Linked DNA regions of Nothobranchius furzeri. The protein of the gene in region 2 purifies or fractionates together with the protein of the main gene of each other region. This does not show direct contact. Links are inferred from orthologs where the notes say so. Each region holds a gene or a part of one and is shown on either strand. Other genes may lie near its edges.

Region 1 (3,814 bases), on a different chromosome or scaffold from region 2:
GTAATAAAAGGGAGATTTACACCACAAAAAAGATGAACTCTAAACCAAAACGTAACCGCTTATGCAAACGCAAGAAGCTGTTAGCGAAAATGATAACAGTAGCTTTACCAGCTTTAAGTTCAAGTTACCAAGTTTAACTAAACCAAAAACACCCAGCAAACAGACCAGCACGGAGGAGAGACTGCTACCACCAAAACAGCTCTCCTAATGTCTGAAAAAAGCTCCTTTATGAAGGGAGAAACGCTCCCGGTGATTTTCTACATCTGTGGTAGAGACGGAGCAGCGCATCTGACCCCGGAAGTTGTTGTCCATTGCCGGGAGACGAAGGCGGGCAAAATAGGAAAGCAATCTAGTAGCGGACGGACATTGTTCCGGGTCTTTGGTATTTGGTGGAGATGTTAGTGAAGGCGGAGAAGAGGGCGAACTAGAGGAAAAACAGGCAGATTCCTCCTCTATTTACAAACTCCTGGGGATGCAACAAGTGGGCGTGGTGCGTCGACTACCGGATCTGACGTCGACAAATTTTTAGAATCGAGCCGTCAACGTCATCGAGGCTTCGCTACAGCCCTCTGTTTGATACCAAGTGGAAGCTCATTCCAGAGACCAAGAAAGCCTGATCCCCTCTAGACCTGTACCAAGTAGGGCTGCTCAATTAATCGAATTTTAATCACAATTATGATCTGAGTTTTGAACGATTATAAAAACAAAACAAGCCGATTATTTGCTCCTCTCTCTTCCACTACTCCGAGTTGCAAATCAAGCGCTCCTCCCACAGTTTTGCCAACTTGTTGCCATGGGCTGCATGGTGACGCAGTGGTTAGCACTGTTGCCTCGCAACACGAAGGTTGCAGGTTCGAAACTTAGCTCGGCTGTGGCCTTTCTGCGTGGAGTTGCGTGTTCTCCCCATGCATGCGTGGGTTTCCTCCGGGTACTCCGGTTTCCCCCACAGATCACAACATGCCCTATAGGTTATAAATTGTAAGTCGCTTCGGATAAAAGAGTCTGATAAATGAATAAACATAAACTTACTTTGTCGCCATTTCCAACAGCTTTTCAGACCCCTTCTTGACTTTTTAAATCCTAAAAGTACCTAGCGAACACCCTAGAAACATTTACGGTAACCCTTAGCTACTTTCTGGGTAACTTTCATTGACATTTCCTGCAGGTTAGCAAAACATTCCGCCTGCGCCCCGGACTGTACTTCAGGACATTAGGAAAGGAAATGATGTAGTGAGTCGCAAAAGAAACGGTTCTCAGAGCCGGCTTCCTCTTGCAGAGGTGTGATCAAGTCACTGCTTTGCGAGTCACAAAGTCTTTCTAGTCAAGTCCATGTCAAAGACAATCAAGTCCAATTCGAGTCCAAAGTCAATGATGTGAAAGTCCAAGTCAAGTCCTTAACTTTGAATTTTCAAGTCATATTCAAGTCATCTGTCCAACTTCAATTTAATGACAATGATAATAAATAAATTCCAGAAATAAAGCTTCTTAAAGCTTCATTTACTTGCTCAAACAAGCAGAAAGCGCAACTGAAGTTGATTATGAACAAAGTGCTGCTGCATTTAGCAGAGCAAGATCAAACCCAGAATGAAGAATGATTTATGATTTTTGTCCATGTCGTGCCACTTTTGTGCTAAAATATTTAATATGCTCAAGTCATCATCAAGTCAATAGATGCAAGTAGATTCAAGTCGCAAGTCACTGGTGTTCAAGTCTGAGTCAAGTTGTAAGTCTTTATAGATTTTATCAAGTCAAGTCAGAAGTCATTAAAATAATGACTCGAGTCCAAGTCATGTGACTTGAGTCCACACCTCTGCACTCTTGCATTAACTGGAGTGTGTGACACACACTGTACCTGCAGGCTACTGAGCCGTCAGACTGCAGGAGCGTGCGTGTGTAAATTCTTGCCGTTTGTATCATCATTGTGTTTTACAGGGAGTCAAAATTCTCCCATACATGCAACCTAAATGATGCAGGAGGTATTTCAAGCTCCTCTCCTCTTCAAGCGTTTCTCCTTTAAATGGAACAGGTAGTGCCTCCGCCCTTCACGTGGCCGATCTGCGAACCGCGCCCAACCGTAGAGCGAGATCTGAACGGATTGCGGATCAATGTTGGTTGCACCCCCAGGGCACGGCCACGATGTATCCCAAACGTGTGGACACAGGGGGAGGTGAACGCCGGTAAAAATGACAAACAAAGCTTGGGCACCACCCGGGCGGTAAGTCGTCAATTATTTACTGCTCGACAAGAACATTTACCGCCAATGGCGCTCAGGCAGTTAAAAGTTTCCACACCTGCAAATGTAGAGAAAATGTGAGATAATGCTCATGTGTGCTGCAGGAAAACTTTTCTTGATTGTTAGCTCTGCGATGTTCTCTGTGCGTAACGTGCTACAAACTTACTCGAGGCCAAATAAACAAATCACCTCTTGTAAAAAAAACAACTAATGGCTCAAGCCATCGTCGATGGTCGAATAATTCGTCCCATCGCCCAACCCTAGTGCACACATAAATACATTTTGGTCAAGGTCTGTATTTGACAACTGTTGTAAACACACACACACACAACACACCATTAGTTGCGTCGCACTGAGTGTTGAACTTACCGGACCTACGATGTCAGACACGTGAGACACAGTGGTACCAGAGGCAGCGCCCAGATACATGACCTTGGCTCCAGGTTTGATATGGATCTGGTCAATTCCTCCCAAGATGGCAGCAGCCAACTTTGAGCGGAAAGGATTCCATGCTCTGTACTCAATCTTCGTCTCCCCTTCCTAAAGGATGGACACCCAGCCGTTATCATTGTAAGGAAAAGCGATTAGTGATGCAATCCAGACAAAACTTCTCTCTCACCTCCACACTCATCCTCTTCTCCCCATAGACAGACTCTCCTACAACCATATTCTTGGTCACCAGAGCATCCTCCTTCCCTCGGCAGATAAACACTCCTGACAAAAAACACACAAGTTAGAGCTCAAACACTCTCTAGCTTACTCGCTCCACATACAACAGCTACTGTTGTGGTGAATCATTTCAGCAAGGGAAGGGCCCAACATGCTACCAGCATTAGCCAACTACCTAGGGCGTTTCTCAATTAGGGTTGTCACGGTAACCGGTGTAGCGGTAAACCCCGGTAAAAAAAGTTGGCAATAATAATAACCGTCTTGTTTTTTAAAAAGTATATTATCTCGGTGGATTACCGTGGCTGCGGTGTAGGTGCGGTGACCCTTACCAGCCACCGTATCATCTGCTGATGTTGCCGGCGGCACATGCGCGCTTTGTTGTCTACAACCAAAACTTTCTTGAAGCTAAAGCTGAAATAATGGCCAAAGGAGGAGACGGCAGTGCTCAGGACATTTATTATCCCTCAAAGAAGACAAAGTGGGAAGTACGGGCATTTTTTTGATATTTGAAGAATGCCGAGGGACAGTTGATAGAAGACGGCTATCCTGTTTGCAGCACGTGCAGAAAAAGTGTCTGTGAAAGGCAGCAACGCTTCAAATCTCATGACACATCTGCGTGACCATCACCCACAACTCTACAGTCAACGTAAGGCAAGCTAACGTTAGCGTTTTAGCTAAAATGCGTGATCCGAGGATTTGGGTTGAGGGAGAATGCAACGAGTCGCTATATAAAGCAGCCGCAGTGCCGCTACCTGCATATAAACCGTGTCGCGGACACCGCCATGTTGAAATAATGCTATGCATTACGGGGCTCCCAGGGGCAGATAAGAGTTGGTCTCTCTCCGAGGCGTTGCTGCCTTTCACAGACACTTTTTCTGCACGTGCTGCAAACAGGATAGCCATCCGTCTTCT
Region 2 (4,375 bases):
GGGGTGTAGGGACTAAGAAGATCACCAATGTAAGATGGTGCTTGTCCATGTAAGGCCCTATAGACCAGAACCAGGATCTTGAAATGAACCCTGAAGTTGACTGGCAGCCAGTGAAGCTGGAGGAGAAGCGGGGTGATGTGGGTGTGTTTGGAGGACTTGGTCAGAAGCCGAGCACAGGCGTTCTGAACCACCTGTAGACGGTTCAGGGAGGTTCTGCTCAGACACGTGAAAAGAAAGTTACAGTAGTCTAAGCGTGAGGAGATGAAGGTGTGGAGAACTGTCTCAAGTTCAGAGCGAGACAGAATGGGACTCAGCTTAGCAACGTTCCTGAGATGGAAGAAGGAAGAGCGAACAAGAGAACTGACATGAGAATCCAGGGTGAGAGCTGGGTCAAAGGTCACGCCAAGATTCCTGACATGAAGTTTGAAAGGTTTTCATATGCGACCCTCTGTTCAGGCAGCGGAGCATCGATAAGCAATTCCCCGCCAGCACAGCAGAGGGCGTAGCTCTTTTCTGCGGTACCCTGCCACCATAAAACTCCTGTATCCGGTACACGTGTTTACTAACGTCTTCATGTGTTTCAGAGACTTTATAACACGGACAATTTTGTCCATTCTCCTCCAGCTCTTCATGCCCTCGCCACCTCTAAACCCACGCTTCCTGTCGCTCTCGTCCACGTTTGTTCCGTATTTTGTACTCCTTCAGTCACGGGTGAATAAACGTTGATATTTTCTGACTTTTTCCACGATGCAATCTTCAATCTGTTCTGGGTCTGCAGCTAAATATCGCTTTACTCTTTAACAGGGCAACGGCGGAGCTGGTGACGAATCTACAGAAAGCGGCGTCCTGACCAATCACAAGCTTGCGTTCTCCATCACTTTCTACGGATGTTTAAAATTTTGGGCATGTCACCATCACCCCCTGTGAACCCTGTCAGAGCCCTTGTGCCGACGCAGACGGAGAAGTAAAAAATCAGGCTTTACTTCAATGTACATGTTCCCATGAAGCTCAGAGAGGGCGTGTCGGGGAAGACCGCTTCGCAGGTGAAGTCCATCACAGTTCTGTGACACAACATGCTTCACCTTGATTGAAAAACAGACAGAATTAAATGTAGCTTTAGAAATGAGGTCCAACCTTTCTAAACCATCCAAACTTGTCTCACATACCAGCTTCTCCTTGTGGAGCATCCTAATGCACATGTGAGTGAGCGTCGGTGCAGCTTTACTCAAGTCTGACGAACTGGGACAGAAGAAACGACAGAAATTTGAAACCCAGACTATGACCAGCTTTTTGATAAAGATGTGCCTCTCACCTTATTGCCTTTCCCTTCTGCAGCTGCGTCCACACCCCGTTAGGGCCCCTGTAGTCTGGGATAGAAGCAGCCTAAAACGAGAAACTACTGGTACATTGAAGGTTTCTAAATCACAAGAGCAACAAATAGGGGAGGTTTGGAATACCGTGCTGATACCAGCTCCAGTGTAAACCACCAGGTGATGAGCTTCCCTGACCGCCTCAGCCAGTTGTTTGACTTTGAGTTTCAACTCATCAGCATCATCAAACACCTGAAAACAGCACAAGAACAGAGCCTGAGAATAAACAAGCAGGTAATCAGAGTCAAACATCGCGCGTTTAATGATAAATGTGTAATTCTGGTTAAACATGATATCTTGAATTTATTGTGAAAATAAATCCTGATTTTTTCTTTTGTCCGTCCATCTTCAGCCGCTTATCCAGGGTCCCCGGGGGCAGCAGCCTAAGCAGAGACGCCCAGACTTCCCTCTCCATCCCCTGATGAGTCGTTAGCCTCTACTACAACCACTCCCTCTCAATAGAGGCCAACGACTCATCAGGGGATGGAGACGCGGGATATTCAGAGTAGTTTCTGCTCATTAAATAACAACAGACGGCTACAGCTTATGAGCTTGACTCTCCCACGTTCCAGTCAGAATTGACAGAGCTCCTCGGATGACAAGTTAAACGTCTTCAAGAAACCAAAGAAGTCCAGCTGACTTCATTTGAACCCTTTGGACAAACAACCGAGCACACACACACACCTAAGGACCATTTAGACAGACCAGTCAACCTGACAGCCATGCTTTGGACTGTGGGAGGAAGCCGGAGTACCTGGGGAGAACATGCAAACCCCAGGCTGGGATTTTAACCCAAGACCTTCTAGCTGCAAGGCAACAGCGCTAACCACTGCGACACTGAGCAGCAACTAAAAACACATTTGATCAAACTTTTTCACTAAACCAGACACATTGTGTGGTATGATAATTAAAATATAACTATAGTTAAAATAAACTCATAAAAATAGCAGTTTTTGAACTTTAGGATCATTTGTTGCACTTGAATGATTTGCTACAGGTGTGGGCTCACCTGTCCCTAACGACGTTAACCTTGAGTCTCACCTCCTCCTGCTTCCTCTTGAGGACACTCCTGCGGATTTGTCTCTTGCACACCTCATCCACGGTTTCTCTGTGCAGGACAAGCGCAGCGACTTCTTCCTTAGACCGTTCCGTTTCCGGCTTCTTCAGCACCTGTCCGACCTGCAGCGAGAACCGGGCAGGTTTACCGGTGCTACGTAGAGATGTGCTCACTACCACTTTTTCCTTCCCCAGACTGTGGAGGAGTTTTGGGTCCAAGCATTAAGATAAAATAACGACTTGTTTTCCATTATAGCAGCAGAAACATGGGAAATACCACACGTTGTGACACTGGTCAGATGTTAATGACGTTTACAGCCTAACTGTTGGATTCTGACACGTGAACATTTGTAGTTTAGTGGGTGGGATGCATCAGCATGTCTGCAGAACTTCGGGAAACCGCTGGTTTACTGCTAATGTAGCTTGCTAGCGCTGCCATCTTTTATTGTTACCCTTCTCTCATCTCACCAGTCTGAAAATCTTCCTCTCCCGTTCTCTTTGAAGTATTTTAGCCTTGTCCAAAGCTTTCCTTCTGGCTCGAGAAGAATTACCAGTTTCTGCATTTCCTTCCATTCTGCTCTGACACCCGAAGAGCTACAACAACAAACAAAGCTCATCTCATCTCCTCAGCGCGAGCTGAGCGGATATTAGCCGAGCGATGATGAGGCAGCGAGCAGCGCCCCCTGCCGCCCGGAGGGCGCATGCGCGTCTTTCTCCACAAAATCAACCCGGAGAAACTTTTATTGTGAAAAACAAACAAAAACATAATATACCAACATTATCAAATATCCAAAAGCAAGAACTAAGTATAAAGGTGTAAACACAATTAGGCTAATATTCCAAACCAGTACAAATCTTTTAAGGATGCACCGGGCAGACCACTGCAGTAACATGCTGATGTGTTACAAAAGCACATCATTATCAAAATTAAGGGTCAAAATGTGCTAATATGTTTAAAAGATTGTCTAATTTTGGCTGAAGGCACATAAAAGGGGACAAAAACGCTCAACTATCTCTTCTCACAGGTCCAAGTGAGTCCAGGGTCCCCTTACAAATATGTGGATTCAGCTGAAGCTAATTTAGGATCAGGCATCCCAATGAGCTACAAAGGTGAGCCAGACTGCACAGGAAGTGGTTCTCTGAAATGGGTCTAATTTGCTCTCCTACATTAGTTTTCATTCTGCCGTGGCTAAACTGTCTCTATTGATGTCGTCACCACGTCAGATCCGCTTCTGTTTTCTCAGCATCTTCTAAACACGAACAAGATGAATAAAAGGAACTTGAAGCATTTTTTATTATAAAAAAAGACTAAGACTAGCTCCTGAAAACGCAGAATCCATTTGAATGTAAGATTTTAAACATCTGTTACACACTCTTCATGTAGTTCACTGGAGGCCTTGTTAGAGTTCTCACTGGGGCCAATTAGGGAAGTGTCATCGAGGTCTCGAGGAGTAGGCGCTCGTGGGGAGTCTCTGAGGATTTGCTTTGAACTGTCCTCGTTTCGTCTCCTGAGGTCTCTCGACTGTGAATGTAGACTTCTGTCCAGTCTTTGTCGTGTCTCCCCTGTGCCGTTCCAAAGCCCTTTTCTGTATCCTGGAGGGAAGAGAAGACGTTTTTAGTAGCTGACGGAGACATTTTCTGTAGCTTCTGCTAACCTGTGGAGTATTAAGAAGTTTTCCATGAACAGCATTAAAATGTGTTAAGACTTCAACAGATCTTCTGCAGATGTGATGGAGACAGACGTGAACTTTTACCAGCTACACACTCACATGGTTTCTCTCTTCCTCTCCAGTGATTTTTGTGTTGCTGCTGACAGAAAACCCGTTCTTCTGGGGAAACCTGCATGTTCTTTCTAAAATGTGCACAAAACACACAAACATGAGGAACATACATCAGTTTACCCCCTAACATGCACGAGTGTGGGCATAAATAATTCCATCTTCTCCACT

The links.
Region 1: the proteins of sirt7 (region 2) and fbl purify together in Homo sapiens (affinity purification with mass spectrometry; 3 studies listed by BioGRID, with this or other methods). This does not show direct contact. The link is inferred for Nothobranchius furzeri from reciprocal best matches to the Homo sapiens genes SIRT7 and FBL.

What each region holds. Positions count from the first base shown.
Region 1 is NC_091745.1:58,454,773-58,458,586, reverse strand, and holds part of fbl (rRNA 2'-O-methyltransferase fibrillarin), read right to left. Parts: intron 2,948-3,814; coding exon 2,853-2,947; intron 2,774-2,852; coding exon 2,603-2,773; intron 1-2,602.
Region 2 is NC_091746.1:22,678,814-22,683,188, forward strand, and holds the start of sirt7 (NAD-dependent protein deacetylase sirtuin-7), read right to left. Parts: upstream 3,113-4,375; 5' UTR 3,000-3,112; coding exon 2,895-2,999; intron 2,550-2,894; coding exon 2,412-2,549; intron 1,563-2,411; coding exon 1,458-1,562; intron 1,384-1,457; coding exon 1,313-1,383; intron 1,240-1,312; coding exon 1,167-1,239; intron 1,083-1,166; coding exon 984-1,082; intron 1-983. Other genes in the region: uncharacterized protein cp110, read right to left, coding at 3,860-4,019, 4,196-4,278. UniProt on the Homo sapiens protein: NAD-dependent protein-lysine deacylase that can act both as a deacetylase or deacylase (desuccinylase, depropionylase, deglutarylase and dedecanoylase), depending on the context. Specifically mediates deacetylation of histone H3 at 'Lys-18' (H3K18Ac).